3 linked regions of the Anolis sagrei genome follow. The protein of the gene in region 2 binds, or shares a complex with, the protein of the main gene of each other region. Links are inferred from orthologs where the notes say so. Each region holds a gene or a part of one and is shown on either strand. Other genes may lie near its edges.

Region 1 (10,527 bases), on a different chromosome or scaffold from region 2:
TTGTGAAGTCATAAACTAACTCTATCCTTCCTCAAACAAAACATGTCAGTCTAAAGGGGAAAAGAACAGCCATTAAACTAAGTAAAAGCTTTTGCACCTGTGAATTTTCTATAAGCAACATGTGAATTTCTGCCTCATTTAATTTTCAGTCAGGATTAAACTTTCACAGTCAGACTAGCTAGCATTTCATTTGAAATGATTTCTAAAATGTTTCTGAAAGTCCCATAATTTGTACCGAAATCACACTTAATTGGGGAAAAATTTAAGGTGTGAAAGCAATGGAGTTACTGGCAAGTACTTGGACACATGCAATTTATGTTATTATTGTGTTGTCGAAGGCTTTCATGGCCAAAATCACTGGGTTGCTGTGAGTTTTCCGAGCTGTATGGCCATGTATAAATATGTGAGAGGAAGTCACAGGGAAGAGGGAGCAAGCTTGTTTTCTGCTTCCTTGGAGACTAGGACGTGGAACAATGGCTTCAAACTACAAGAGAGGAGATTCCATCTGAACATGAGGAAGAACTTCCTGACTGTGAGAGCCGTTCAGCAGTGGAACTCTCTGCCCCGGAGCGTGGTACAGGCTCTTTCTTTGGAAGCTTTTAAACAGAGGCTGGATGGCCATCTGCCGGGGTGATTTGAATGCAATATTCCTGCTTCTTGGCAAGGGGTTGGACTGGATGGCCCATGAGGTCCCTTCAAACTCTTTGATTCTATGATTCTATGTTCCTAAAGCATTCTCTCCTGGTGAAACATCTGGAATGCTTCTGACGTTTCACCAGGAGATAATACTTCTGGAACATGGCCATACAGCCCGGAAAGCTTGCCGCAAACCTATGTTATGAATGTTGTATGAAAACATTCTATATTACATTCTTTTAAAATTAAATATGTGAAGACTATATGCTATTTTCTTTTCAGTTTTTATCTTAATGGAACAAATGTTGTTTTTCCCAAATAAAATCTTTCCTATTCTTCAGCATTAGCTATTCTTAAAGTTTTAGCTACGCAGTGAGCTGTCAGGGCAAGATCCTATACACTTGTAGGATAGTATAAATACGCACCACTGTAGGGCCCCACGGATGTGCAACTGACACACAGGCTTTGATTTCACTCATTGGACTATGGTTGATTAGTTCCTCACACATCAAACCAAAACAGAAGACCTTGAGGGCTTGTGGAACAACTGACTGCATGAAGAGCTACAATATTTATTATTTAGATGTATTATTTGTTTTACTGAAAGAACTTACACATCACTTTGGTTCTGTTCATATAATGCTTTCATCTCCTCAAGAACTTGTCTAATTCCATCCTCCTGAAATTTAAAACAGCACCAGCTTCAACAAGTATTTCAAATAGTATATAGTGCTTACAAAGACTTCAATTAATTAAAATTCAAGCTTCATTTCCTTTCAAATATCTATTCACTGTGAAAAGGAGGCCATAGGCTAAGTTTATACCTGAATACACATTGTCCTCCATACTCATTAAAATCGCCACTCCTTGAAAAAAATTCCAGTGCTATCTGTGCCTCTATTCAGAAGATTTCACCTAACTTTCTGTCTCTGTGATCATTGGATTTTGGGGGGGGAGGGGGGGGAAGGCTTGTTGTGGATAAAGCTTCAGCAGAGACACCTTTACTCCTTGATAAATCTTTCAGGAGTGGATTTCCTTTCCAAGGGGTAGATTTCCTCTCACTCTGTGTTGTCTCAGCCCCGTTCTTAACTAGAAGTTGTTTGTAATTCATTTGTTTGTAACTCAGGAACTGCCTGTACATGGAAGTAAGGCCACGTATATTCTTAGTGTCTTTTGAAGTATCATAGAACAGAGGCCCGGGAAATAAAAGTTCCATAAATGTAGGATATATTTATATTGTAGAATTCACACAGTCTGATCCTATTTTTATATTATATTTTTTCACTGATTTACTTTTAATTGTCTATTATGTTTTGTACTGCCATTGCATGTTTGCCATTTTTACTTTGGAGGCTGCCCTGAGTCCCCTTGGGGAGAGAAGGATGGTTAAAAATAAAGTATTATTACTATTATTGCTTTCAACTGCCATGGCTCAATGCAATGGAATCATGAGAGTTGTAGTTTCATAAGGTCTTTAGCTTTCTTTTCCAAAAAAAAAAAAAAGTGTTGGTGCCTTACCAAACTACAAATCTCATCATTCCATAGCATTGATTGTTTTTATCAACCAGAGCAGTGGATGTTTTAAACTGTTTTTATATAACGTAATTTTTTATTTGTGGATGATAGTTTTGTGTCAATTTAATGTTTTGTTTCGCTTTTTAATAGATGTTTTTATTTATTTTATCATATTTCAATACAGTGTTTATACATCATTCGTTTTACAGAAGACACATTATATTCAGAACAATTTACACTACATTAACTCTTTGGCATCTACTGTTATTTTTACGTTTATACATATTTTTCATCTCTCACCACCATGTTCCCCTCCCCCCAAGCCACAGCTTCCATCCAAAATTTCATTTCCCCCTTTGTCTTTCTTTTGAATCCTTTTTCAATAAATGCTCTTCATACATAACCAAAATCACTTTGTTTCCAAATCCCTCTTTTAACTTTTAATTTACACGCCAGATTGTCATTTATTGACAATTTCCATACCTTCTTATACTTACACTTATACCTTATCTTTCCCTTTTCCAATTCCATGCTATAAGCAGTCTTGCTACTGTTAATAAGTTTATTGTCACATCTTTGTCCTCTTTTTTCACTTTTGTTTCACTTTAACATCGATTTTGTGTTGTTATTTTGTAGACTGAATTTTAAATTTGTTTAATGTATTGTCGAAGGCTTTCATGGCCGGAATCACTGCATTGTTGTAGGTTTTTTGGGTTGTATGGCCATGTTCTAAAAGCATTCTCTCCTGACATTTCGCCTGCATATGGGGCATACATCCTCAGAGGTTGTGACGTTTGCAGGAAACTGGAAAATTGGGTTTATACATCTGTGGAAGGTCCAGGGTGAGAGAAAGAACTCTTGTCTGTTGGAGCTAGGTGTGAATGTTTTGATTGGCCACCTTGATCAGCATTTGATGGCCTGACAGTTTTTAGGTGTCACTGGGAAATTTCCTTGTCGAGAAGTGACCAGGTGTTCTGATTGTTTCCAGGCTGGAGTTTCCCTGTGTTTGAGGGGTTTTTTTAATGTTATAATTTTAGAGTTTTTTAGTACTGGTAGCCAGATTTTGTTCATTTTCATGGTTTCTTCCTTTCTGTTGAAATTGCCCACATGCTTGTGGATTTCAGTGGCTTCTCTGTGTAGTCTGACATGGTGGTTGTGAGAGTGGTCCAGCATTTCTGTGTTCTCAAATAATATGCTGTGTCCAGGTTGGTTCATCAAGTGCTCTGCTATGACTGACTTCTATGGTTGAAGTAGTCTGCAGTGCCTTTCATGTTCCTTGATGCGTGTTTGGGCAATGCTGATGCATTTGGTGGTCCCTATGTAGACTTGTCTACAGCTGCACAATATACGGTAGACTCCTGCACAGCTGCATGGTATCTGGTAGACTCCTGGCAAATTGGTTACTTGTTATATTACTGTTTATTGTTTGCATTGGTCACATTTTTGTAAGCCACTCCAAGTCCCCTTGGGGAGATGGGGTGAGATATAAATAAAGCTTATTATTATTATTATTATTATTATTATTATTATTATTATTGAACCATGGTAGCTAAAGTGGTGCCCGAACTCTTCAATCTTCAGGCAAGGCCCTCTTCTCACCCTTGCCAGTCTCTCAGACTCGCTTTGTGGGTACAAGGGAGACAGCCTTCTCCTCTGTGGCCCTCCGACTCTGGAACTCATTGCCCGGAGAGATTAGGAAAGCTCCTTCTTTAGAAACCTTTAAAAAGAGTCTCAAGACCTGGCTCTGCCGTTGCACCTTTGGAGAGTAGTTCACAAAACTTCATGCTATTACTCCCTCAGCATTCTTGTTATGTAGGTTTATTATCCCGTCTCTCTATGAGTTCTCCATACAATTAGTTTTACCCCTTTATCTCACCAGGAGTTTTCAAATCATTTTATGTACAGGAGGCCTCTTTTTATGTACAGGAGATCTCTTTGTCTTTATGTTTGGTTTTTATGTTCTATGTATATTGTTTATATGCTTTGATGTTGTTTACTTTAATGTTGTTTTGTTGTTTATTTTACTGTAATTTTGTATTTTTTGTATTGTAATTTGTCGTTCGGACTTGGCCCCATGTAAGCTGTTGGGTGAGATGATGGCAGGGTATAAATATTATTATTGTTGTTGTTGTTCTACAATGCACAGTGACATCACTTTAAAGGTGTTTAAAAGGCTGTTAGGAATTCTGGGAGTTGAAGTCCAAAACACTTGGGAGGGCCCAAGTTTGCCCAGGCCTAGTATACATGCATCCTAAATTTATGAAACTTCCCTTTCTCAAGCTTCTGTTCTATGATACTTCAAAATACACTAAGACTATATGTGGCCCTACTTCCATATTGTCTACCTTTAGAAATAGCCATGGTTATATTCTCTTGCGGCTTTAGATAATGATAGGAATCTATTCCCAAGCAGCAGAGCCACAAGTGTGTTTTGGACTCCAACTCCCAGAAGACTCCGCTGCCTTGGCCAATGAGCAGGAATTCTGGGAGTTGAAGTCCAAAACACTTGGGAGGGCAGAACCAAATTTTAAACAGGCTCACGTTGTAGGAAGGCAGCTGCCCGTCGCTGGCGCGGTGGAGCTCCCGGATGAGCTCGGTGGCTTTCTCGCAGAACATGGTTTTCTCCCAAAACCGGGCCCAAAAGAAGCCTCTCAGCGCCAGAGGCCCTCACCCGTCGACCGCCAGAGGAGAACTAAGTGAAACCCGCGCCTCGAAGCCGCTCAGCCAATAGCAACGCAAGAAAGTTGAGAAGAGGCGGGGACAAACATCCTCTCGTACGGGAGAGGAGAAGGGACAAACGAGCGTGTATCGCGCTTTTAAATTCCTTATGCTCCTGCAACTCTTGGCATGCCACCTGCATTGCAGGATGCAGCTTGACACCACTTTTATAACTCCAATGCAATCACTAAAATGACAAAGGGTCTGGAGAACAAGCCCTATGAGGAGCGGCTTAAGGAGCTGGGCATGTTTAGCCTGAAGAAGAGAAGGCTGAGAGGGGATATGATGGCCATGTATAAATATGTGAGAGGAAGCCACAGGGAGGAGGGAGCAAGCTTGTTTTCTGCTTCCCTGGAGACTAGGACGCAATGGAACAATGGCTTCAAACTACAAGAGAGGAGATTCCATCTGAACATGAGGAAGACCTTCCTGACTGTGAGAGCCGTTCAGCAGTGGAACTCTCTGCCCCGGAGTGTGGTGGAGGCTCCTTCTTTGGAAGCTTTTATACAGAGGCTGGATGGCCATCTGTCACGGGTGATTTGAATGCAATATTCCTGCTTCTTGGCAGGGGGTTGGACTGGATGGCCCATGAGGTCTCTTCCAACTCTTTGATTCTATGATTCTATGGGATTTGTAGTTTGTTGAGGCACCAATCCTCTTTGGCAGAGAAGTCTAACGGCCTTGTAAAGCGACAACTCCCAGGATTCTACAAACCTGAGCCATGGCAGTTAAAGCGGTGTCAAACTGCATCAATTCTACAGTGTATAATGATGCACCTTTTCCATACACTGCAGTTTGATGCCACATTAATTGCCATGGCTCAGAGCTAAAGAATTCTTGGATTTTTTAGTTTTGCTGGAGATTTATCCTTCTGTGTTCAATCTGGTGCCACAACAAACTGCAAATCCCAGAAGTCCATAGGCTGAAGCTATTTATTTATTTATTTATTTATTTAGAGTTTTCATACCCCGGTCTTCTCACCTTCGGGGAGGGGCTCAGGCCGGCTAACAACATAAAATTCAATACAGTAAGAAAAACACTATAGGTCACCAATATAAAATACATTAAAATACACTTCATACAATTCATACAAATTACAGCAAAAATCAGTTTGTCCAAAAGAATCACAAATTCATCGCCATCCGCCAGAAAGGTCAGCAGTTATTGACTCAGTCATCATTCTGCGAATGCAGTATCCCGAAGCCATGTTTTTACCTGCTTTCTAAACGTCAGGAGGGAAGAGGCCCTTTGGAACTCCCTCCCGATGGAGATCAGGCCCGACGGCGAGAAGAAGGCCTACGTTCGTCTGGCTCCGGATTACGACGTCGTAATCCGGAGCCAGACGAACGTAGGCCTTCTTCTCGCCGTCGGGCCTAATCTCCATCGGGAGGGAGTTCCAAAGCCAAGGGGCCACCACCGAAAAGGCCCTGTCCCTCGTCCCCACCAAACGCGATTGCGAAGGTAGTGGAACTGAGAGCAGGGCCCCTCCAGAAGATCTTGACAACCTTGATGGTTCATAGGGGAGAATCCGTTCGGACAGGTAAATAGGTCCAGAGCCGTTTAGGGATTTATAGGTCAACACCAGCACTTTGAATTGTGCTCGGAAGCTGATTGGCAGCCAGTGGAGCTGGCGCAACAGAGGAGTAGTATGCTCCCTGTACCCCGCTCCTGTTAGTAATCTGGCTGCCGCTCGTTGTACTAGTTGTAGCTTCCAGGCAGTCTTCAGAGACAACCCACGTAGAGAGCATTGCAGTAGTCTATACAGGATGTAACCCGTATAGCTATGGTACTTAAAGTGCTGTCAAAATGCTATAATGCTGCAATGTGAATAGTCCCTCAGTCATCTTTTCCCCCCTTTTAAATATTCTTAATAAAATATTTAAATTTAAATAAAAATATTTAAATCTATGTATATAATAAAAGTCAAAACTTGTATGCGGAGGACAAAAGTGTGGCGGGAGGAGTATGTGCCAGCGTTCTGATTGGCTGCCGCTGTGGTGCTATTTGCATATGGTCTCTGATTGGCCAGCTTCAAGAGGAGCCCCTGGTGGAGAAAAGAGTTCATGGAAGAAACGGGGACATGAGAAGGAAATTTGCATATGGTCTCTGATTGGCCAGCCTCAAACCCAACATTCTGAGATGACAAAGAGAGGAAAGGAAAGGCCAAAGGGGGCTGGGTCAGAACACTCCCAATACAGACCGAAATTGGCACACAGAGCCCCCATGACCCACTCTACATCCTACTGCAGTTTGGAGGAGGATGAACCTTGGATGATGGGACTTGGGGTACCATCACTCACATTCTGAGACCGCTGTTAACCTCATCCAATGACTGATCAGGACCAAACTTGGCACATAGACCTCTCATGCCCCACTTTACATCCTGGTGTGGTTTGGTCGGGGATAGACCTTGGATTATGGGACTTGCAGTACCTTTGCTCAATTCTTGAGACCACTGCAACCCTCATGCAATTACCGATAAAGACCAAACTTTGCACACTGAGTCTCCATGACACACTCTACATCCTGGTGCGGTTTGGGGGAGGATGCACCATGGACGATGGGACTTGCAATACCTGCACTCCCTTCCTGAGACCATTACAACTGCCAACAGTGATGGATCAGGATCACAATTCGCACAGAGAGCCCACATGACCCACTGTACATCCTGGTGCAGTTTGGAAAAATATGGAAATGGATGATGGGACTTGAAGTCACTTCACTCACTTCCTGAGACCACTGAGACCCTTGCCAATGACGGATCAAGACCAAACTTGGCACACAGAGTCCCCATGACCCACTCTACATCCTGGTGCATGTTTGAGGAGGACAGACCATGGATGATGGGACTTGAAGTACCTCCACTCCCTTCCCAAGACTGCTGCAACCCTCATCTAATGTCCGAACAAAACCAAACTTGGCACACAGAGCCCCCATGACCCACTCTACATCCTACTGCGGTTTGGAGTAGGGCATACCATGGATGATGGGACTTGCAGTACCTTTACTCACTTACTGAAACCACTGCGACCCTAATCCAATGACCGATAAAGACCAAACTTAGCACACAGAGCCCCCATGACCCACTCTGCATCCTGCAGCAGTTTGAAGGAGGATGGACTTTGGATGATGGGACTTGCAGTACCTTCACTCACTTACTGAAACCACTGCCACCCTCACCCAATGACTGATAAAGACCAAAGTTGGCACACAGAGCCCCCATGACCCACTCTATATCCTGCTGCTGTTTGGAGGAGGGTGGACCATGGATGATGGGACTTCAAGTACCTTCACTCACTTCCTGAAAACAATGCAACCGTCATCCAATGACCAATAAAGACCAAACTTGGCATACAGAACCGCCATTACCCACTTTCTCTAATAACCCGGGCAGCGCCAAAAGTGTGGCGGGAGGAGTATGTGCCAGCGTTCTGATTGGCTGCCGCTGTGGTGCTATTTGCATATGGTCTCTGATTGGCCAGCTTCAAGAGGAGCCCCTGGTGGAGAAAAGAGTTCATGACAGAAACGGGGACATGAGAAGGAAATTTGCATATGGTCTCTGATTGGCCAGCCTCAATTCCAAGATTCCGAGATGACAAAGAGAGGACAGGAAAGGCCAAAGGGGGCTGGGTCAGAACACTACCAATACAGACCAGACTTGGCATACAAAGCCCCCATGACCCACTCGACATCCTACTGCAGTTTGGAGGAGGATGAACCATGGATGATGGGACTTGCAGTACCATCACTCACATTCGGATACCGCTGTTAACCTCATCCAATGACTGATCAGGACCAAACTTGGCACATAGACCTCTCATGACCCACTTTACGTCCTGGTGTGGTTTGGCGGGGGATGGACCATGGATTATGGGACTTGCAGTACCTTTGCTCAATTCTTGAGACCACTGCAACCCTCATCCAATTACCAATAAAGACCAAACTTGGCATACTGAGTCTCCATGACCCACTCTACATCCTGGTGCGGCTTGGAGGAGGATGCACCATGGACGATGGGACTTGCAATACCTACACTCCCTTCCTAAGACCATTACAACTGCCAACAATGATGGATCAGGACCACAATTTACACAGAGAGCCCGCATAACCCACTCTACATCCTGGTGCGGTTTGGAAGAATTTGACAATGGATGATGGGACTTGCAATCACTTCACTCACTTCCTGAGACCACTGAGACCCTTGCCAATGACTGATCAAGACCAAACTTGGCACAGAGAGTCCCCATGACTCACTCTACATACTGGTGTACTTTCGAGGAGGACAGACCATGGATGATAGGACTTCAAGTACCTCCACTCTCTTCCCAAGACTGCTGCAACCCTCATCTAATGTCCGAACAAAACCAAACTTGGCACACAGAGCCCCCATGACCCACTCTACATCCTACTGCGATTTGAAGTAGGGCATACCATGGATGATGGGACTTGAAGTACCTCTACTCGCTTTCCGAGACTGCTGCGACCCTCAACAATGACTGAACAACATCAAACTTGGCACATAGACCTCTCATGACCCACTTTACGCCATGGTGTGGTTTGACTGTGGATCGAGCATGGATTATGGGACTTGCAGTATCTTTGCTCAATTCCTGAGACCACTGCAACCATCATCCAATTTCCGGTAAGGACCAAACTTGGCACACCGGGTCTCCATCATGCACTCTACATCCTGGTGCGGTTTGGAGGATGATGCACCATGGCCGATGGGACTTGCAGTTCCTTCACTCACTTAGTGAAACTACTGAGACCCTCATCCAATGACTGATGAAGACCAAACTTGGCACACAGAACCCCCATGGCCAACTCAACATTCTGGTGAGGTTTGGGGGAGAACAGACTATGGATGATGGGACTTGCAGTACCTTCACTCACCTCCTGAAGCCACAGTGACATTCATCCAAATACCAATAAAGACCAAACTTGGCACAGAGAGCCCCCATGGCCAACTCAACATTCTGGTGATGTTTGAGGAAGACTATGGATAATGGGACTTGCAGTACCTTAACTCACTTCTGAGACTGCTGTGACCCTCATCCAATGACTGATCAAGACCAAACTTGGCACACAGAGCCCCCACGACCCACTCTCCATTCTGGTGCAATTTGGAGGAGGATGGACCACAGATGATGGGACTTGCAGTACCTTCACTAACTTCCTGAGACCACTGCGAGCCATATAAATAACTGATAAAGACCAACCTTGATACACAATTTCTTTCTCAAATAACCCGGGCAGCGCCGGGTCCCCAAGCTAGTATTAATATAATTTTAAAATCCCATTTCTTCTGATATCAGGTGGAATTGATTCCTGAACACCTCTTTCCACCATTGATTCAGCTACAGACACATAGCAACCTGTTAACATTTTCCCCTGCAATATTACTTCCTGGTACAAAGTACTAAACATCTGTAGCCTTAGTCATTTTCAGATACAGGGTGGACCTGGCAAATCTAATTTTAAAATGTGGACTGTTTTATTAGGGACAAAGGGAAAGTAGGCTGCAGTGAAGAGAATAATATTATCATGGGCATTTCGTAATGTGGTGCCACCTTTTCCTACCAGGGATATATCTCACCTCTCCTTTCACTGTTTTCTCATCCTCATTCCAACCCTTGGCTACGTTCTTTGAATCCTGTG
Region 2 (11,285 bases):
ATTCCTGGAATCTTTACTAGGTGTGACATCTGCTCAGACTGCAAAACAAACAGGAGGAAACCACAGCGAGGGTGAGGCCATAAAGGAAGCGGATGCGCATTGAAACACAAAACATTCAAAGCAAATGCAAGATTCACAAATTCCCACTTCTCTGCCTCAGTACTGATCAAAATCTGTTCTGGAAGCACAAGGTTCCAGTTCATAAAAGAAATCAAAATGAAGATGTTTTAGGATAGATTTTCATGCCCAGTACTATCCTTTCTATGAATTTACTAAGTCCTGCTAGAACTCTATGATAACGTTCAGGCAAATTATGCCATATAATTGCCTGGAGGACCTGGGAAATCTTTAAGAGACTATTTGTCACCTAGACATGGGTATGTGAACCCAGAGATACAGGTTACATGACTATGAGGGTCTTAATGTAGACCAGGGCTCCTTAAAATTTTCCACTCGCAACCCCTTTTGGCCTGAGAATTTTTTACATAACTCCAGATATTTTGGTATACAAAATAGGGGGGGGGGGGGGGAATCAAACATTTACTGATTTATTTATTGTGGGGGGCCATCCAGTTGGAATTGCCTGATTTTGCTTCCCAGAGGGATACTGTTGTTGTTGCTGGGGGAACGTTAAGAGGAGTGGTGGTTCTCATGAAGCTTTTCCTTGATTTGAGTCTACAGAGAGGAGGCTGATAGCCATGCAGTGGATGGCTTTCATAGTGTTCAACCTTATTTCTCTCACAGTTAGCAGCAACTTTCTGTTGCATATCGGGGGCAATGCAAGATGTGGGTTTGAGACATCTTGCAATTATTCTACATGTTTAGTTCAGTACTATAGTCACCTGTTTTGTGTGGACAGACTTGTGCTAAACAGGGCAGGAATACTCACAAGTTGAGTAAGACAAGGCCAGGGCTAATGGTCTTATTAATTAATTAATTTACTGACAATAAATCAGCATTTACAAGGCTTGCTAAACAGGCTGATAGTACTTTTTTTTAATTACACCTGAACATCTTCTGTAGAGTCTACTGTAAACACTACACAACAGAGTCATGTTAACATCTAAAGCTTTTACTGTTGTCAAATTTTTCAGGACCTCAACACTGAGCTAAGGAGACCCCATTTGTGGCTGGGACCCACAGTTCCCCCCAAAGCAGAACCAAGCTCACCTTGAGGCTGCGGATGTTGGATGGATTGGCATCAGATCTCAGCATAACCTGAACCTCTTGAAGATCCTCTTCTCCCACCGGACGAGGACGTGTTACTTCATCTGCTACCTCCTTTGCTGCTTCTTCTAGCTGGAAAAAGAATGACAGCAGTTTGGACAATGGAGGACAGTGATCATTATTTCATCTAATAACAAACTTCAGTGGCTGAGTAACCATCAGAAATTAAGAGTTTCAAGCAGTGTTTCTCAAACTGTGCTCCTCCAGGTGTTTTGCACTTCAGCTCCCAGAAATCCCAGCTAGTTTACCAGCTGTTAGGAATGGTGGGAGCTTATGTCCATAACATCTGGAGGAACACAGTTTGAGAAATTCTGGTTTAGAGGCATGTTCAAGTCACTCGTGAAGTATGTGGAAACATCAAAACCTTTTACTTTCCACATGTGTGAACTATGCTAATCTGTCATTGGGCAAATACAGCATCAGTGAAGTAGCGCTCAACATTTCATTCTCCAGATGGTCTTGATCATAATTCCCAGAAACCTTTGTTTACACGATCAACTTGCAGAACACTCTGGGAACTGAAGTTTGAAACATCTGAAGGGAAAATGCTAAGAACTACTGGTGTAATGGCATCTTAAAAGACTTAACATCTAGCTTGTTAATCTCTAAAATTGCCACTAGGTTAGTAATATTTTTTTAAACCAAAATGAAATACATCTAACCCTATATCTCAAAGATTCAACAGTTACAGGTGATTAACGATAGTTTAAAAGAAACAAATAGAACACTAGACTGGGATTGGAAGAATGAAAAGCAAGATTTTGGAAGAGCATACAGGACACCAGGTTGAAGGCTCTACATGCAAACACTAATATTGAAGCAGATCTAACTGCAGCTATGGCTAGTGGGCAATGTTCTTTCCCTGGGACTCTCCTGGAGCCAGAAGAACTATCACACATGTTCTCCAAATAAAAGGAAAACAAAACCAAATGAGGCAGCAACCTATTGCTGGTATTGAAAAATGGATATTACACAGTGCAGAGGCTACTACAGCTTCATAAATGAATTGCTCAGGAAGGGATTCGGTTTAAGTAATATGGAAGATCAAGGGCCTCAAAAACAGCACTGGGTCCTGAATGTGTCATTTGAATGGCACTTTGACCACAATATCTCTCTTTCAGGCAGCATTTCTCATCCCATCCCACACATACCAACTGGAGGTGTTCTGCAGGCTGCTTGTACAGATAGTCTGCTAGGTCTTCATCAAAGCTTGCCAAGTCTTCCATCTCCACTTCAATCCAGTACTGGCCCAGATTGTAATGCCGTTTGAGTTCATCTCTAAGACAGAGTGAGAACAGCAGGAGTAGTGAGGGCATGTGAGACTGAAAACAAGCAGCTTACAGTCAAGAACACACTTGTTAGAGCACTTTTACCAAGAAAGATAAATTACACTAACACAGCCATATTTAATCCCAACTAGCAGTACATTTATATTTATATAATTATAGAGATGGAAGGGACCTTGCAGGCCATCCAGTCCAACCCCCTGCCAAGAAGCAGGAAAATCACATTCAAAGGAGCCCCGACAGACAGCCATCTAGCCTCTGTTTAAAAGCCTCCAAAGAAGGAGTCTCCACCACACTCCGGGGCAGAGAGCTCTCACAGTTAGGAAGTTCTTCCTCATGTTCAGGTGGAATCTACTTTCCTCTGGTTTAAAGCCATTGTTCTCCATCCTAGTCTCCAGGGCAGCAGAAAACAGGCTTGCTCCCTCCCCCCTATGACTTCTCCTCACATATTTATACATGGCCTTCATCATGTCTCATCTCAGCCTTCACTTCTGCAGGCTAAACATGCCCAGCTCTTTAAGCCGCTCCTCATACGGCTTGTTCTCCAGACCCTTGATCGTTTAGTCACCCTCCTTTGGACGCATGCCAGCTTGTCAATATCTCCCTTTAATTGTGGTGTCCAGAATTGGACACAGTATTCCAGGTGTGATCTTACCAAGGCAGAATAGAGGGGTAAGCCGACTTCCGAGGATCTAGACGCTATGCGCCTATTTATGCAGGCCAAAATTCCATTGGTTTTTTAAGCTGCTCCATGGCATTGTTGGCTTGTGTTTAACTTGTTGTCCACGAGGACTCCAAGATCTATTTCAAACATACTGCTATCAAGGCCAATCAACTATGAAGTGTAGCAAGAAAAGTGATTTTATTTGGGAGGAAAGGGCACCTGTATTTGAAATTGAAGCCAGTGCGGTCTGTTCCAACCCGATACTGTCTCAAGAACTCTTTGAAACGCTTCTGCAACTGGGACTTCCGGATCTGGCCCTCATCTCCCCCTGTGTCACCAAAGCTGTCGCTGTAGAAAATGCCGGGATCATCAAAGCCAGACATGGCGTCTCACTCTGCAGGGAAAAACAGAGATAAAGAAAGGATCTGAAAGGATGCAGAAATATATATAACCATCATCCAGGACAAAGGACCTCATCACAATGAATATGCTTTACATCCGGTTTCTGCCTCCTGCAGAATTCTGGGGCTTGTAGTTTAAGTGAGGCTGTTAAAGGCTCCTCCCTAAACTACAAAGCCCATAATTATGAAGGAGGCAGAAACTGGATTTAAAGTGGATTCATTCTCTAGTGTGATGAAGTAGAAAGTCTAAATGTTTAAAGTGCATCTCAACATGTAGAAAGCTAGTGCTATGCAAACTCTGCATAAATCAATTTTCTCTTCTTTTACTTAGGATGTCCTTTCCCCTTCCCTCCAGTTAAATGAAGGCTTGTTTTTCTTAAAGTGCATCTACACTGCAGAATTAATGCAGTTTGACACTACTTTAACTGCCATCGTTCAGTACTTTGGAATCTTGGGAGCTGTAGTTTTATTAGGTCTCTAGCCTTCTCTTCCAAAGAGTACATGCTCTGTTTACATCCCGTATAGATTACTGCAACACACTCTATGTGGTGTTGCCTTTGAAGAGTGTTTGGAAGCTTCAACTGGTCTAGCGAGCAGCAGCCAGGTTGCTCACTCGAGCGGCACTCAGGGAGCACACAACCCCATGTTGTGTCACCTTCACTGGCTCCCAGTTTGCTACCGAGCACAATTCAAAGTGCTGGCTTTGGCCTATAAAGTCCTAAACAGTTCTGGCCCAAGCTACCTGTCAGAACATATCATTTCCTACAAACCAGGGCGGGGTACAAGTATGGCAAATCTATAGAAATAAAAATGTAATGTTCGTTTGTGGGATTAACATAACTCAAAAACCACTGGGCGAATTGACACCAAATTTGGACACAACACACCTTTCAGGCCAACGAGTGACCATCACTCATAAAAACACTAAAAAATACAGCAGAAGAGACTTCAAAAGCCAAAACAAATAAAAATGCATTACTATGCACGCAAAAACCAAATACATACACATATATGCACACACAAAACACATATACACAGACTGGGCCACAGCAACGCGTGGCAGGGGACAGCTAGTAAATAAATAAAAGAAATAAATACTAAACTACAACTCCCAGAATGACATAACATTGAGCCATGGCAATTAAAAGTGATGTCAAACTACATTATTCTACTGCCGATGGATCCCAGGACAGTGTTTCCCAGACTGGATTTCCTGATGTTTTGGACTTCATCTCCCATAAATCCTGTCTTTGTCTAAGCTGTTTGGGAATTATAGGAGTTTAAAGTCCAAAACTGGTGGCGCACCAAAGTTTGGTAAACACTGGATGAGGGGAAATATCCTCAAGGCTGGAAACTCAGCTCAAGAAGCCATCTTTAGCCCGGCTCTATAGCACTTCAGTAATTAGTTAGGTTAGATAATTAGAAACTTCATTAGGAAGTGAATAGTTGTCAAAAACTAGTTACAAAGACAAGGAAAAAGGACTATTCCTCGTCTAACTCCCAGCAAAGACTAGTTACTGCACCAACCTTTTCCTTTTCCTTTGGAATTTCTATTTTCCACTTAAGCAGACCTTTCTTCAGTGCCGAGCAAAAAAGGAGAAGGCGGAGAGAGATTTTCGCGGGAAAACACTTCGCCCCGCCTTCTGACGGTCGCACGCCGACTGCTCCCATTGGTTACAAAGAATTCAGCCATGCGCGATTGGCTTTGCTAAAATTTGCCGAACCCCGCCCTTTCTGTGCTTGGATTTCCATATTTTCAATCCGATTGGAGGAGGCAGAAAGAAGAGCCCGCCCTTGCTTCGCCTGACTTTTCCTGGAACTTTATTTTAGCGCCAGAAAGCCTCTCGCACAGAACTTAAGAAGAGGCTTAAGATGGAGGCTGTAGGCGGAAGTGGGAGGAGCTAAAGGCATGTTCAGCTGTATCTTCTTATTGGCAATGGGAAGTTAGCTGTCAGACACACAGCCAATGTTAAAAATATCATAAAATACTCAAAATAGTTTTGTGCATGAAGCAAGTTTGTGTCCACTGAAGTAAAGGTGTTGTTTCTAATATGAGCCAAGAAGGCCATAGGAAAGTCATTGTTTCATCATATTAAGGTAAAGGTAAAGGTAGTCCCCTGACATTAAGTCCAGTCATGTCTGACTCTGGGGTGTGGTGCTCATCTCCATTTCTAAGACGAAGAGCCAGCGTTGTCCGTAGACACCTCCAAGGTCATGTGGCCGGCATGACTGCATGGAGCACCGTTACCTTCCCGCCAGAGCAGTACCTATTGATCTACTCACATTTGCATGTTTTTGAACTGCTAGGTTGGCAGAAGCTAGGGCTGACAGCGGAAGCTCACGCCGCTCCCCGGAATCGAACCTGCAACCTTTTGATCAACAAGCTCAGCAGCTCAGCGCTTTAACCCACTGGGCCACCCGGGTTATCCATCATATTATCGACTATGAAAGGTTATATCAGGTCCTAGCTGTCCCCTGCCACGTGTTGCTGTGGCCCAGTCTGGTAATCTGGAAAATAAAGAAATGAGAAAGTCTTGGTTTCTAATATATGTAATTTCTTGATGCTTGTGAGTAAACAGTATTTCTTGTTGTTTCTTTGTCAGTGTTGATGTAAAGATTGTCTGGTTTGCCTACCCTGAAACATGCAGCATGCTCTTTAGGGGTTCCTTTCAAATCTATGATACTATATCTTTCTGTGCATGAATCATATATATCTATCGTAGTGTCTAGATCTAGGGAAGTAATGCTACCCCTCTATTCCGCTTTGGTTAGACCACACCTGGAATATTGTGTCCAATTCTGGGCACCACAATTGAAGAGAGACAAGCTGGAATGTGTCCAGAGGAGGGCGACTAAAATGATCAAGGGTCTGGAGAACAAGCCCTATGAGGAGCGGCTTAAGGAGCTGGGCATGTTTAGCCTGAAGAAGAGAAGGCTGAGAGGAGATATGATAGCCATGTACAAATATGTGAGAGGAAGCCACAGGGAGGAGGGAGCAAGCTTGTTTTCTGCTTCCTTGGAGACTAGGACGCAGAACAATGGCTTCAAACTACAAGAGAGGAGATTCCATCTGAACACGAGGAAGAACTTCCTGACTGTGAGAGCCGTTCAGCAGTGGAACTCACTGCCCCGGAGTGTGGTGGAGGCTCCTGCTTTAGAAGCTTTTAAACAGGCTGGATGGCCATCTGTCAGGGGTGATTTGAATGCAATATTCCTGCTTCTTGGCAGCGGGGTGGACTGGATGGCCCATGAGGTCTTTTCCAACTCTTTGATTCTATGATTCTATGATTCTATCTATATCCATGGCTGGAAGGCTCTTTGTCAGGAGGGCTTTGATTACATTTTCTTGTCCTGGTGAAGGGAGTTGGACTGGATGGCCTTAAGTATTTTCTGTGGTCATGGGGGTTCTGTGTGGGAAGTTTGCCCCAATTCTGTCGTTGGTGGGGCTCAGAATGCTCTGATTGTAGATGAATTGAAAATCCCAGTAACTACCAATCCCAAATGTCAAGGTCTATTTCCTCCAAACTTCATCTGTGTTCATATTTGGGCATATGGAATATTTGTGCCAAGTTTGGTCCAGATCCATCATTGTTTGAATCCACAGAGCTCTCTGGATGTAGGTGAACTACAACTCCCAAACTCACAAATTTTGCATTTTGTCTGTTTGTTTGCTTTGTTCTGTTAGAAATGTAATATAATTTGACTGGTTGTCCTGACACGACAAATAACTCCCAAACTCAAGGTCAACACCCACCAAACCCTTCTAGTGTTTTCTGTTGGTCATGGGAGTCCTGTATGCCATGTTTGGTTCAATTCCATAATTGGCGGAGTTCAGAATGCTCTTTGATTGTAGGTGTACTATAAATCCCAGCAACTACAACTCCCAAATGACAACATCAATTTCTTTGAGTGAAGAACATACATTGGGATGTTAGGTGTATGCTGTCCAAATTTGGTGTCAATTGGCCCACTGGTTTTCGAGTTCTGTTAATCCCACGAACTAACATTACATTTTTATTTATATAGATGGGCAAACCCAGGGCCCTTGGGCTGTTCTCAGCCCCTCCTCTCTCTCACCATCCTATCCTTCCTTCTCTCCTTCCTTCCTTCCCTTCTTTATTTTATTTTGCTGAAAATTAAATTTTATTTTTAACAACCATTCAAGCAAGCAATAAATTAAGAGTCACACCAAATTGCTAATTTTCCAATATATATCATTTGGCATTGCTGAAATTAAAATACTGAATAAATACAGGAATTAATATAAAATATTGCATAAATAACATGAAATAATATTCACTTTATAAGGTCACAATTGGACCGTACGACACTAGTTCGTATGTCTAGCGAAGTGCTTTCCAGTTTCAAAAGTAGAACTTCTGAATATTATATCAATAGTAGTCAATTGAATTTAAGTTCATTTGTAAGACTTCCCTTCTTTATTTACCCCCTCTTTCCCCCTCCCATAAGGATGGGAAAAAGTGCATCATGAGGATGAATCTGTAATTGGGACAGAAATGGGGGGTTTGTGTTCATTCGTCAAAGGCACATCAGAAGAGCTGCTTGCATAGGGGCTTGCCTAATCTCACTAGGTAGCAAGTTCCAAAGCCAGGGGGCCACAATGGAGAAAGCTCTTTCTGTGGCTCTAGAGACCAGGGCACAAGGGAGCAATGGTTTCAAATGGTAGGGAAAGAGATTCGACTGAAAAGTTTAGAAAGAACTTCCTGAGAGTAAAAACTGTTGGAGTGTGGCATAGGCGTCCTTGAAGTGTGGTGGAGTCTCCTTCTCTGGAGGCTTTTCCACAGAGGCTGTCTATCAGGAGTGCTTTGAGTGTGCCTTCCTCCATAGCAGAGGGTTGGACACGCTGGCCCTTGGGGGTCTCTTCCAGCTCTAGGATTACATATCAAGAGAAAGCAATACAGCAGTGGTTCTCAACCTGGGGTCCCCAGATGTTTGTGGCCTTCAACTCCCAGAAATCCTAACAGCTGGTAAACTGGTTGGAATTTCTGGGAGGTGTAGGCCAAAAACATCTGGGGACCCCAGGTTGAGAACCACTGCAATACAGGGTCTAATGCAGTGGTTCTCAATCTGTGGGTCCCCAGGTGTTTGGGACTTCAACTCCCAGAAATCCTAGCTAATTTATCAGCTGTTTCTGGGAGTTGAAGGCCAAAACATCTGGGGACCTACAGATTGAGAACCATTTATCTAATGGATATACTTTTTCTCTCTCATCCACCATTTCCTCCTGGGATCCAAATGTTTCCTGTCTTTTCTCCACTTTCTGCTTCTGAAAGAGAAGAGGAAGGGGGGAAAGGGCAGGGAGGGGACTTGGGGAGAATCTCCTACCTCCCAGCCCACCCACTCCCCTCTGGCCTGCTACGTGGCCCCCAAGCTAGAAAGTTTGTCCATGCCTGGATTATATGCATGAAACTCTTAGACCATTCAAAAGTGCCATGGAAATAAGAGGTAATTGTAATCTTGTGCAGTTCATGTAATGTTACCATTGTGCCCACAGGTGGAGCTATGTTCTCACTCTAAAGAAGGGCCTGGTTAACATAAGAGTTGACTCAAAGACATGTGGGAAGGAATTGCCAGGCTAGAATTGATATGAGACATAGAACCACCTGCAATGTGTGTATGTTGGGGTTCACAGTAAATATTGAAGTTTGATAGCATCCAGGAGAAAGTGAAATTACTTTAGGGATTGTGGGAGTTGAAGACCAAAACACCCAGAGGGCCGAAGTTTGTCCATGCCAGGTTTAGATACACCCTAAGTTTTTCTCCAAGGCTATACAGTTACTTTATAATGATGCAAGAATTCAGTTGTGTGTTGCCTTGTTTGCGTCTCTCTTTAGGAAAAGTTACCATGAGTTGTCACTTTTTAACTTCAGCAACTACTTGAGTTTCAACATACATTTTTTATAAAAAAAACTCAAAGATACTGTTTTGTTACTTTGTGGCAGCATATAATAGCCACCTTGTTGTTGCTGGTGCTGTTGAGAAATGTGTTTCTGCCAGTTCTTCCCTCTGAATGTAGCCTATAACACCAGGTATGCTTTGGGGCCTCCCACCCAAGTACTAACCAAGACTAGTCCTGCCCAGATTCTAAGCTCAGATGGCATCTAATGCCTTTAGGATGTTTAGGCTTTTATTTACCAAACCGATTTCTTTAAAGATCACAGGTGGTTTGTGAAGCAACCAACATGGCATCTTTTCCCTAGTATACCTGTTCCATCCTAGCTTTCCAGGGATTTGTTTCCAACTGGAGTAGATATAGAACCATAGAATTGGAAGAGACCTCATGGACCATCCAGTCCAGCCCTCTGCCAAGAAGCAGGAAAATCACATTCAAAGCACCCCCAACAGATGGCCATCCAGCCTCTGTTTGAAAGCCTCCAAAGAAGGAGCCCCTACCACACTCCAGGGCAGAGAGTTCCACTGCTGAACAGCTCTCAATGTCAGGAAGTTTTTCCTCATGTTCGGGGGAATCTCCTTTCCTGTAGTTTGAAGCCATTATTTTGCATCCTAGTCTCCAGGGCAGCAGAAAACAAGTTTGCTCCCTCCTCCCTATGACTTCCCCTCACATGGCTATAATGTCTCCTTTCAGCCTTCTCTTCTGCAGGCTTAACATACCCCAGCTCTTTAAGCTGCTCCTCATAGGGCTCAATCATTTTAGTCGCCATTCTCTGGCCACATTCGCTACATCTCCCTTCAATTGTGGTGTCCAGAATTGGACACAGTGTGATTCCAGGTGTGGTCTGACCAAGGAAGAATAGAGGGGCAGCATGACTTCCCTGGATCTAGACACTATACTCCTATTTATGTAGGCCAAAATGCCATTGGCTTTTTAAGCTGCCGCATGACATTGTTCGCTCATGTTTAACTTGTCCACAAGGACTCCAAGATCTTTTTTCACACATGCTGCTATTGAGACAGGCATCCTCCATTCTTTATCTTTGCATTTAATTTTTTCTGCCTAAGTGGAGTATCTTGCATTTGTCACTGTTGAGCTTCATATTGTTGGTTTTGGTCTATCTCTCTAATCTGTTAAGGTCAATTTGAATTCTCCTCCTGTCTTATATTAAAATGAACATGACTTGATAATACCAGTCAAAGTTGCATTGATTTCAGTGGGTCTACTCTAGCTAGGATTGACATTGAATTTATCTGATTGCATGTACCTACCGAATATAGAAACAGAGGCAACAAACAATGAAATAGGCTTCCACATGGTGGAAAATTAGTTTTTGGGGCTGAGCTACCAACTGGAATAAGTTCATACAGTGAACAATAAAGAAAAAAATCACTTCAGTCAACTCAAAAGAAATTTTAATGGTTCAATATATAACATATAAAGACAGATTACAAATATAGTAGGAAATGGTTCATTCACTAGTTCATTGCTGAGGTATAAATATGTTTCAAAAATAGAAACATAGTATAAAACTTGTTTAAGCAAAGTCTTGTTTTCCAGGACGGGTACATGTAGGCCATACAACATCGGAAAATAATACAAAAACAAACACTGGACAGAGTAACTGCAACAACATTGATTTCTCAGAGATCTAAGAGAGAAAGTGCTTGATCTTTGTGGTTCTTCCCTTTGTTTAAAGGCGTGCCATACTGTGACATTTCAGGATCTTTGCAGAAATGTTCTCCCCACTAATGTTTCAATTTTCAAACCATTTGCATCTTCTGTATTGTTAG
Region 3 (11,521 bases), on a different chromosome or scaffold from region 2:
CACTCAATATGCTCCAATGTGAACACTGGAGGAGTTTGGGGGAAATAGACCCTGACATTTGGGAGTTGCAGTTGCTGGGATTTATAGTTCCCCTACAACCACAGAGCATTTTGAACTCCACCAATGATATAATTGAACCAAACTTGGCACACAAAACTCCCACGGCCCACAGATAACACTGGAAGGGTTTGGTGGACAGTGTCCTTTCATTTTGGAGTTGTAGTACACCTACATCCCAAGATCACTGTGGACTCAAACAATGATGGATCTGGACCAAACTCTACAAGAATACTCAATATGCCCAAATGTAAACACTGGTGGAGTTTGGGGAAATAGAATCTTGACATTTGGGAGTTGTAGTTGCTGGGATTTATAGTTCACCTACAATCAAAGAACATTCTGAACTCCATTAATGATGGAATTGGGCCAAACTTGGCACACAGAACTCCCATGGCCGACAGAAAATATTGGATGGGTTTGAGTTTGGGAGTTGTAGTTCACCTACATCCAGAGAGCACTGTGGACTCAAACAATGATGGATCTGGACCAAAATTGGCACCAATACTCAGTATGCCCAAGTGTGAACACTGGCGCAGTTTGGGGAAAATAAACCTTGACATTTGGGAGTTGTAGTTGCTGGGATTTATAGTTCACCTACAATCAAACTATTCTGAACCCCACCGATGATAGAATTGGACCAAATTTCCCACACAGAATGCCCCAGCTGATGTGAGCCTCCCTCCAACCTCGCCTGCTCTCCCTCGCCCACACATGTGTACCACGCTACCATGCGCCGAGCATGATTGCTCACCCCCCCCCCCGGCTTGGATTCTCAGAAACAGCCCCCCCCCCCTCTTGGCTGAGAGGCTGGCCAATCAGAGCGGAGGACCCCAGGGGTCTTGAAGCACAGGTTGAGAAACGCTGATCAAAACGAACGAGTCTCCATTCACTCACTCTTTGGCGAAAGCAAACTCTTCTGGAGAGAGGATGGAAGGCTCTCCCTCCGTCCGGGTCTTCTCTTTTTCCAGGACGTGCGGGAAATATTTCTCAATCTAAAGAGAAAATAAAGAGGAGAAGAAGGGCGAGGCATCATCGGGTGAAGGGGGAAGAAGAGCGAAGAGCACTGGGTGCATCAACACAGACGTTAGGAGTATCCACATTTCCAAAGTGACCGTTCACTAAACAATGGGATGGTGGAATTTTAAGCAGAGGATGATGGCTATCTCTCAGGAGTGCTTTGATTGTGTGTTCCCACATAGCAGAGGGTAGCCCCTGGATGGCCTTTGGGGTCTCTTCCAGTTTAGGGTTCTATAATAACTCTGGTGCTCGTCGCCATTTCTAAGCCGAAGAGCCGGCATTGTCCATAGACTCCTCCAAGGTCATGTGGCTGGCATGACTGCATGGAGCGCAGTTACCTTTCCACTGGAGGGGTACCTATTGATCTACTCACATTTGCATGTTTTCGATTTTTATATTCTCAATAAACTGCTTGCTGATTTTTCCCAGCTCGTGTGGTGTTTAAAGTCAGAGGTGACTCTGATACGACAGATCACTCTGCTCCGCATTTATGAGGAGGGTCTTTTGCTAATAAGCCCACTTGCCCAACAACACTGATATAGATATGATACAGAACCACAAAGGCATCCATATGAGGGCAGAAAGATGGCCTAGAGACAAAGGACGGCAACGAAGGAAATACATGACGGAAAGACCTTTCGGATCCGACTGCGCAGATAGCTGCTGAGGACGTAGCGGATCCTCTCCACTTCCATGCGGTGGATGCTGGCCTTCAGGTCCCCTCCTTTGGTGCGCTTCAGGTTCTCCTCCTGCAAAGACACACAGCAAAGGGGTTTTGCAAAGGCAGGAAGGACATCCTGACCCGGGAGGAAGAACTATTTGCCCGGAGAGATTGCAAGAGCAGCTCCACACTTGCATAGGAGAAATCTCACTGAGGAGAGGAATATAAATACAAGGAAATATAATCAAATTGAGTAAATAATAACAATAATAACAATAACAATAACAATAATACAGGAAGGACATTGCTACAAAAGAGGAACCCTATTTGCCAGGATAGATTGGGACAGCAGCTTCACACTTGCATAGGAGGAAATCTCACTTAAGAGAGGAATATAAATACAAGGAAATATAATCAAATTGAGTATAATAATAATAATAATAATAATAATAATAATAATAATAATAATACAGCAAGGACGTTGCTACAAAAGAGGAACCCTATTTGCCTGGATAGATTGGGATAGCAGCTCCACACTTGCATAGGAGAAAACCTCACGTAAGAGAGGAATATAATACAAGGAAATAGAATTACATTTAGTAAATAATAATAATAATAATAATAATAATAATACAGGAAGGACGTTCCTACAAAAGAGGAAGCCTATTTGCCCGGATAGATTGGGACAGCATCTCACACTTGCATAGGAGAAAATCTCACTTAAGAGAGGAATATAAATACAAGAAAAATTTAGTAAATAATAATAATAATAACAATAATAATATAGGAAGGACATTGCTACAAAAGAAAAAGGCTATTTGCCCAGATAGATTGGGACAGCAACTCCACACTTGCATAGGAGGAAATCTCACTTAAGAGATTAATGTAAATACAAGGAAATATAATTAAGTTTAGTAAATAATAATAATAATAATAATAATAATAACAATAATAATAACAATATAGGAAGGATGTTCTTACAAAAGAGGAAGCCTATTTGCCCGGAGAGATTGGGACAGCAGCTTCACACTTGCATAGGAGAAAATCTCACTTAAGAGAGGAATAAAAATACAAGGAAATATAATTAAATTTAGTAAATAATAGTAATAATAATACAGAAAGGACATTGCAACAAAAGAGGAAGCCTATTTGCCTGGATAGATTGCAAGAGCATCTCCACACTTGCATAGGAGAAAATCTCACTGAGGAGAGGAATATAAATACAAGGAAATATAATCAAATTGAGTAAATAATACCACTAATAATAATAATAATAATGATACAGGAAGGACGTTCCTACAGAAAAGGAAGGCTATTTGCCTGGATAGATTGGGACAGCAGCTCCACACTTGCATAGGAAGAACGCTCACTTAAGAGAGGAATATAAATACAAGGAAATATAATTAAATATAGTAAATAATAATAATAATAATAATAATAATAATAATAATAATAATACAGGAAGGACGTTGCTACAAAAGAGGAACCCTATTTGCCTGGATAGATTGGGACAGCAGCTCCACACTTGCATAGGAAGAACGCTCACTTAAGAGAGGAATATAAATACAAGGAAATATAATTAAATATAGTAAATAATAATAATAATAATAATAATAATAATAATAATACAGGAAGGACGTTGCTACAAAAGAGGAACCCTATTTGCCTGGATAGATTGGGACAGCAGCTCCACACTTGCATAGGAAGAACGCTCACTTAAGAGAGGAATATAAATACAAGGAAATATAATTAAATATAGTAAATAATAATAATAATAATAATAATAATAATAATAATACAGGAAGGACGTTGCTACAAAAGAGGAACCCTATTTGCCTGGATAGATTGGGACAGCAGCTCCACACTTGCATAGGAGAAAACCTCACTTAAGAGAGGAATATAATACAAGGAAATAGAATTACATTTAGTAAATAATAATAATAATAATAATAATAATAATACAGGAAGGACGTTCCTACAGAAGAGGAAGGCTATTTGCTGGATAAATTGGGACAGCAGTTCCACACTTGCATAGGAGGAAATCTCACTTAAGAGAGGCCTATAAATACAAGGAAATATAATTAAATTGAGTAAATAATAATAATAATAATAATAATAATAATAATACAGGAAGGATGTTGCTACAAAAGAGGAAGGCTATTTGCCCGGATAGATTGGGACAGCAGCTCCACACTTGCATGGGAGAAAAATATCACTTAAGAGAGGAATATAAATACAAGGAAATATAATTGCATTTAGTAAATAATAATAATAATTATAATAATAATAATAATACAGGAAGGACGTTGCTACAAAAAAGGAAGGCTATTTGTCCAGATAGATTGGGACCGCAGCTCCACACTTGCATAGGAAATAGTCTCACTTAAGAGATGAATATATATATATGAATAAATATAATTATATTTAGTAAATAATAATAACACAGGAAAGATGTTCTTACGAAAGAGGAAGCCTATATGCCTGGATAGATTGCAACAGCTGCTCCACCAGACTAGGCCACAGCAACACATGGCCAGGATACAGCTAGTAATAATAATAATAATAATAATAATAATAATAATAATAATGATAATAATATGGTGCAACGTAGCTGGCCATTTACACCTGTGTGTTTTTATGAACCTTGTCATCTCTCTCACCATGTGCTCCAGCTGCTCAATGACGCACTCCACGATTTCCGACTTGCTCTCCAGCAGCTCAGGGGAAAACTTCTCATTCATCCAAGCCTGGAAAGAGACAGCAAAACCTTGGAGATGGCCCAGATGATGAGAGACACCGGTGGGAAGGATTCTGGGAGTTGTAGTGTGCCTAAATAACCAGCCATGCTGTTGGGGGTAGGGGTTGCTTTTGGGAATTGCATTCCATTCAAACAAAAATAATAATAACAACAATCATAATATAGGGTTGTTGTAGGTTTTTTCGGGCTATATGCCCATGATCTAGAGGCATTCTCTCCTGACGTTTCTCCTACATCTATGGCAAAAAAAATTGCTGATGGGGGGGATTCTGGGAGTTGTAGTATTCCCAAACAGAGTTCTACTCCATCTAAATAAGTTATGGGAGGGATTCTGGGAGTTGGATGGGGAATTGTGGGAGTTGCAGTGTGTTTCAAAAAAATGCTGATGGGAGAGGGGATTCTGGGAGTTGTAGTATTCCCAAACAGCATGTCCCACTGATGAGGAAGCTCATGGTAGACAGTCAAATAAAGTGGCCACATTTGGGGAGGTGATTGGGTTGGAGGAGGGGGGTCCTGGGCCTGCCATAATTGAAGGGGAAGTGTCCTGGGAGTTGTAGTTCCCCCAAGGGCCGCCTGGGCTCACCTGCTCCAGGTGTTGGATGAGCTGGGCCGGGGTGAGCACCACTTCCTCGCCCTCTGACTCCAGCCCGGCTTCCTCCTCCGCCTCGGCCATGTTGGCGCCAAAGGGAAGCCCAACACTTTCCCGCCACGGATTCTAATTAGGTGTGCTGACGTCAGCGACGCTGAGGAAAGAAAGAACGGCACTGGCCCCGCCTACTTATGAATATTGCGCGCCAACATGACTCTCGGCCCCGCCCCTTCACATTCTTAAAGGAGCCGGACAATGTAAATATGTCAAGGCCGGAATCACCCACTTGCTGGCCATCCAAACATCCGGGTAACGTCCTTGCAGACGGCCAATTCTCTCACACCAGAAGCGACTTGCAGTTTCTCAATAATAATAATAATAATAATAATAATAATAATATACTGGAGAGAATAATAATAATAAAATATAATACTATAATATAATAATAATAATATACTTGGAGGGAAGAATAGTATTATTATTTATTTATTTACTTACTTACTTACTTTGCTTCTATACGGCTGTATCTCAAGCCCGAAGGCGACTCACAGCGGTTCACAAACAGTAAAAACAGTAGAAACAGCAGTGGTTCCATACAACATATAACAATTGACTTAACACATTATCCATAAATTACCAATAAGCAATTACAATGCACAATTATTACAAAACACAACCGTACCCAATCTTCTCCTCATCCAAGCGTAGTCCAGATTCGTCGTCCATTGTTCCATTCCTATGTTCCATTACCAGATTGCACTAAATTACTCAAACGCCTGCACAAACATCCAGGTCTTCACCTTTTTGCGGAATACCATTAGAGATGGTGCTAGTCTAATGTCCGTAGGAAGGGCGTTCCACAGCCGAGGAGCCACCACCGAGAAGGCCCTATCTCTCGTCCCCGCCAGCCGAGCTTGAGAAGCAGGCGGGATCGAGAGCAGGGTCTCCCCGGAAGATCTCAAAGTCCTGGTGGGTTCATAGGCAGAGATGCGGTCAGATAGGTAGCTAGGGCCGGAACCGTTTGGGGCTTTCAAGGCCAACGCCAGCACTTTGAATTCAGCCCGGTAGCAGATCGGTAGCCAGTGGAGTTGGCGCAACAGGGGGGTTGTATGCTCCCTGCACTCCGCTCCTGTTAAAATCATGGCTGCCGAGCGTTGGACTAGTTGGAGCTTCCGAGCTGTCTTCAAAGGCAACCCCACGTAGAGAGCGTTGCAGTAGTCTAAACGGGATGTAACCAGAGCGTGGACTACCGTGGCCAAGTCAGACTTCCCAAGGTATGGGCGCAGCTGGCGCACAAGCTTTAGCTGTGCAAATGCTCCCCTGGTCACCGCCGAAACCTGGGGTTCCAGGCTCAGTGATGAGTCCAGGGTCACACCCAAGCTGGGAACCTGCGTCTTCAGGGGGAGTGCGGCCCCATCCAACACAGGCTGTAACCCTATGCCCTGTTCGGCCTTGTGACTGACCAGGAGTACCTCTGTCTTGTCTGGATTCAATTTCAATTTGTTCGCCCTCATCCAGACCGTCACAGCGGCCAGGGACCGGTTCAGGACCTGGACAGCCTCCTTATTATAAGAGGCCTCATAATTTAAGATCTACTGGGGAGGCCCTGCTCTCGGTCCCACCAGCGTCTCAAACGCATCTGGTGGGGACGAGGGACAGGGCCTTCTCGGTGGTGACCCTCTGCTTGTGGAATTTGCTCCCCAGCGAGATTAGATTGGCATCCTCCCTCCTTACTTAAAGGAAAGGAGCCCCTGGTGGCACAGTGGGTTAAACCCCTGTGCCGGCAGGACTGAAGACCAACAGGTCACAGGTTTGAATCCGGGGAGAGGCGGATGAGCTCCCTCTATCAGCTCCAGCTCCTCATACGGGGACATGAAAGAAGCCTCCCACAAGGATGATAAAAACATCAATTCATCCGGGCATCCCCTGGGCAACGTCCTTGCAGACGGCCAATTCTCTCACAACAGAAGCGACTTGCAGTTTCTCAAGTCACTCCTGACATGACAAAAAAAATTGGAAGGAATTACCTACTTGCTGGCCATCCAAACATCCAGGTAACATCCCTTGGGTAAAGTCCTTGCAGATGGCCAATTCTCTCACACCAGAAGCGACTTGCAGTTTCTCAAGTCACTCCTTGACTGGGAGTTTCGGCCTGGACTGCTACCAATATGCAGACGATACCCAACTCCTTCTGCGCCTGGAGTCTGGAGCAACGTCAATTCCAGACAATTTCACCCGATGTCTGGAAGCTCTGTCGAACTGGCTACGTGCTAGCAGACTGAAGGTGAACCCGGCGAAGACTGAGATTCCCTGGCATGGCCGCCCGGCAGGTCTGACTCCTCCGTTGCCCACCTTCGATGGTGCCGCCCTCTCTCCATCGACCACTCTTAAGAGCTTAGGTGTCATCCTGGATTCACAGCTGACAATGGAAGCTCAGGTCGCTGCTGCCACTAAACAGGCCTTTTTCCATCTACGACAAGCGAGGCAACTGGCACCCTCCCTATCTGGCGAGGCTCTGGCAATGGTCATCCATGCTACGGTCACATTTAGGCTGGACTATTGCAACGCCCTGTATGTGGGCCTTCTGATGTCTACGACCCGAAAGCTCCGTATTGTTCAGAATGTGGCAGCCAGGCTACTCACAAGAACGCCCATGAAATAATGCCATATCACACCAGTGTTGCGGCATTTGCATTGGCTTCCAACCAATTACCGTGGTCTATATAAGATGCTAGCTCTGACCTTTAAAGCTCTTTACGGCCAGGGTCCATCGTACCTTAGGGACCGCCTCTCCTTCTCCCATCATCGGAGGTCGCAACGACCATCCCAACGTGACTTACTCCATATCCCGGGTCCTAGAGAAGTGCCCTTGGAAAGGACCAGGCGCAGGTGGGCTTTCTCTCTTTCTGCCCCTCCTGCCTTATTGTGGCATTCCTTGCCGCCCTACATGAGAGCCATGCGTGACTTAGGGCCTTTTACTCTAGCACTTCAGACACCTGGCTTTTCACTAGAGCATTCGATCTCTGTTGATTTTTAATTTTTGTATGTATGTATTTTATCTTTTGTAATTTAGCTCTAAATCGCCCATAGCATTCTCGGATGGAGGGCGATTAATAAGTTATTAAATGATGATGATGATGATGACACAACAAAAAAAAATGGACGGAATCACCCACTTGCTCGCCATCCAAACATCCAGGTAACATCCCTTGGGTAACGTCCTTGCAGACGGCCAATTCTCTCACACCAGAAGCGAGTTGCAGTTTCTTAATAATAATAATAATATAGGTAAAGGTAAAGGTAGTCCCCTGACATTAAGTCCAGTCATGTCTGACTCTGGGGTGTGGTGCTCATCTCCATTTCTAAGCCGAAGAGCCAGCGCTGTCCAAGGTCATGTGGCCGGCATGACTGCATGGAGCGCCGTTACCTTCCCGCCGGAGCGGTATCTATTGATCTAGGTACCGCATCTCCATTTATGAACCCACACGCTCGCTCCGGTCATCTGGGGAGGCCCTGCTCGTGATCCCACCTACGTCGCAAGCGCGCTTGGTGGGGACACGGGACAGGGCTTTCTCTGTGGCGGCCCCCCGACTTTGGAATGCCCTTCCAAAAGAGCTTCGTCAGGCCCCTACTCTAGCAGTTTTCAGAAGGAACCTAAAAACTTGGCTGTTCCGATGTGCCTTCTCAGATTAGGAATCCCCATCCCAAGTCCTAGAAGCACTTTAGCACAACCAATGTTGCTGCACACCGCACTTTTAATCCTACGTTCCTCCTGCCATCTCAGCACTTTTAACCCTGTACCCCATTGCGCCGGCCGAACCAGTTTTAATAGTGTCTTGATGTATTGATGTATTGTCATTGTGGTTACTTTGCTTAATTGTTTGATTTGCTTTGTTTATTGTTGTGTTATGTTTTCTATTGTATTGTGTTTTGAGGCTTCGGCCCGTGTAAGCCGCATCGAGTCCTTCGGGAGATGCTAGCGGGGTACAAATAAAGTTAATAATAATAATAATAATAATAATAATAATAATTGATCTACTCACATTTGCATGTTTTCGAACTGCTAGGTTGGCAGAAGCTAGGGCTGACAGCGGAAGCTCACGCCGCTCCTCGGAATCGAACCTGCGACCTTTCGATCAACAAGCTCAGCAGCTCAGTGCTTTAACCCACTGCGCCACCGGGGGCTCCAATAATAATATATTGGAGGGAATAATAATAATAAAATATAATACTATAATATAATAATATACTTGGAGGGAAGAATAGTATTATAAGAGGCCTCATAATTTAAGATCTACTGGGGAGGCCAGGCCCGTAGCCAGGATTTTGTTTTGAGGGGGGGGGGGCTGAGTTTGGTTCGGGGGGGCTGAGTCTGAGTGAAAGAGGGTCCAGCAAACCTTTTGTATCATTACCCCAATACCCCCCATGCATATGGGATATATTGAGTATGGTGATCAGATCAGGATATGAATAAACATAACAATTTAAATAATGCACCAGTAAGGCCTTCTCGTGGACCACCATCAGAATTTCGGGGGGGGGGGGACTGAAGCCCCCCAACCCCCCCCCCCCCCAGCTACATGCCTGGCGGAGGCCCTGCTCTCGGTCCCACCAGCATCTCAAACGCGTCTGGTGGGGACAAAGCGTTCTCGGTGGTGACTCCTCGCTTGTGGAATTCGCTCCCCAGCAAGATTAGATCAGCGTCCTCCCTCCTTACTTTTAAGAAAAAACTAAAGACGTGGTTTTGGAGCCAGACCTTTGGCTAGTGGGCACAGCAGCACTTTCAGCACTGAACTGACAATAGGATTGTTATGAAAATTGAGAACGGCTATGTGACTTGTGATGATGTCATTTGTACTATCTGATTATGTAATTTTAATTAATATCACTGTTTTAATTGTTATGTAATAGGATTTTATACTGTTGGTTTATATTGTTGTTATTGATACTGTTGGCATTGAATTGTTGCCTGTGTTAGCCGCCCTGAGTCCCCCCTGATGCTGGGGAAAATGGAAGGAAAAAGGAAGAGGGGCCGACCAAGGGCAAGGCGGGTGGACGGCATCCTTGAAGTGACTGGATTGACCTTGGAGCTGGGGGTGGTGATGGCCGATCAGGTCACAAAGAGTCAGAAGCAACTAAACGAATGAACAACAGCAACAACAATACTGGTGTATATTAGGCCTGGGTAACAACGCAAAAATTTGTTTCTAAAATCGATTTGTATTTGGGGTTTTTTTGCGTTTCGATATTTAAAATAATTACAAAACTTTCCTTTAAAAAAGTTCAGTATTTACGAAATTTCGTTAATATTTACGAATCGATTCGTTAAGATGGCGGACCCCCCACGCATGCGCAAATCACCTCTGAAACTTCGTTATGAAAACGGGGGTCGATTCGTTAAGGTGGCAACGAATCGATTCGTTGAAAAAGAAATATTTATCAGAAATATTTAAAAATGGAAAATTAACAATGCTTGCCCTGTTGTGGAGCGAACACATCCACAGGACAGGGACAAACTCTCACACACAGGCACACAAGGGTCTTTTCTTTTTTTAGAATATTTTTTGAATTTTTTGAAGAATAAAAGAAAGATATTTTTCAGAAATATTTAAAAATGGAAAATTAACAATGCTTGTTGTGGAGCGAACACAGCCACAGGACAGGGACAAACTCACACACACAGGCACACAAGGGTCTTTTCTTTTTTTAGAATATTTTTTGAATTTTTTGAAGAATAAAAGAAAGATATTTTTCAGAAATATTTAAAAATGGAAAATTAACAATGCTTGTTGTGGAGAGAACACAGCCACAGGACAGGGACAAACTCACACACACAGGCACACAAGGGTCTTTTCTTTTTTTAGAATATTTTTTGAATTTTTTGAAGAATAAAAGAAAGATATTTTTCAGAAATATTTAAAAATGCTTGCCCTGTTGTGGAGCGAACGGCAAAGCCTCCCCGCTGCTCCCAGCCCAGGGAATGAATGAATGCAAGCAATGAATGAATGCAAGCCAAGCCTCCCTCCCGAACCTCCCGTCTCCTCGCCTTCCCCAGCAATGAGCAATGCGGCCACGCGGAGCCGCTTTTAAAGGGCAGCCCGCCCAATCACAATCAGCCACGGTGCTTGGGAGCGCAGGATTGGCTCCCGGCACACCCAGCATCCTCCATCCCTAAAAACGTCATTTTTGAAATGGGCGGAAGCCCGTAAAAAAGATGGAGGATGCCATTTCGATATTAAAAAACACTTCCGGGTTTGAAAATATGTTTTGTAATCGTTTTGTAATTGCTAAAAATAACGAATATTTAATGAATTACAAAATTAATGAACGAAACCGCCCAGGCCTAGTGTATATCTTATCTATCTATATAAATAAATATGTAATGTTCGTTTGTGGGATTAACAGAACTCAAAAAGCACTGGGCGGATTGACACCA

What was found.
Region 1: MCM5 (region 2) and GINS1 share a complex: the UniProt entries of both Homo sapiens proteins name them as parts of the CMG helicase complex. The link is inferred for Anolis sagrei from reciprocal best matches to the Homo sapiens genes MCM5 and GINS1.
Region 3: MCM5 (region 2) and GINS4 share a complex: the UniProt entries of both Homo sapiens proteins name them as parts of the CMG helicase complex. The link is inferred for Anolis sagrei from reciprocal best matches to the Homo sapiens genes MCM5 and GINS4.

What each region holds. Positions count from the first base shown.
Region 1 is NC_090021.1:21,809,792-21,820,318, reverse strand, and holds the start of GINS1 (DNA replication complex GINS protein PSF1), read right to left. Parts: upstream 4,863-10,527; 5' UTR 4,768-4,862; coding exon 4,693-4,767; intron 1,316-4,692; coding exon 1,251-1,315; intron 1-1,250. UniProt on the Homo sapiens protein: Required for correct functioning of the GINS complex, a complex that plays an essential role in the initiation of DNA replication, and progression of DNA replication forks.
Region 2 is NC_090025.1:167,316,722-167,328,006, forward strand, and holds the start of MCM5 (DNA replication licensing factor MCM5), read right to left. Parts: upstream 5,215-11,285; 5' UTR 5,106-5,214; intron 3,572-5,105; 5' UTR 3,561-3,571; coding exon 3,397-3,560; intron 2,506-3,396; coding exon 2,379-2,505; intron 1,300-2,378; coding exon 1,171-1,299; intron 39-1,170; coding exon 1-38. UniProt on the Homo sapiens protein: Acts as a component of the MCM2-7 complex (MCM complex) which is the replicative helicase essential for 'once per cell cycle' DNA replication initiation and elongation in eukaryotic cells.
Region 3 is NC_090027.1:4,069,152-4,080,672, reverse strand, and holds the start of GINS4 (DNA replication complex GINS protein SLD5), read right to left. Parts: upstream 5,217-11,521; 5' UTR 5,170-5,216; coding exon 5,080-5,169; intron 4,486-5,079; coding exon 4,399-4,485; intron 1,827-4,398; coding exon 1,713-1,826; intron 1,053-1,712; coding exon 955-1,052; intron 1-954. UniProt on the Homo sapiens protein: Required for correct functioning of the GINS complex, a complex that plays an essential role in the initiation of DNA replication, and progression of DNA replication forks.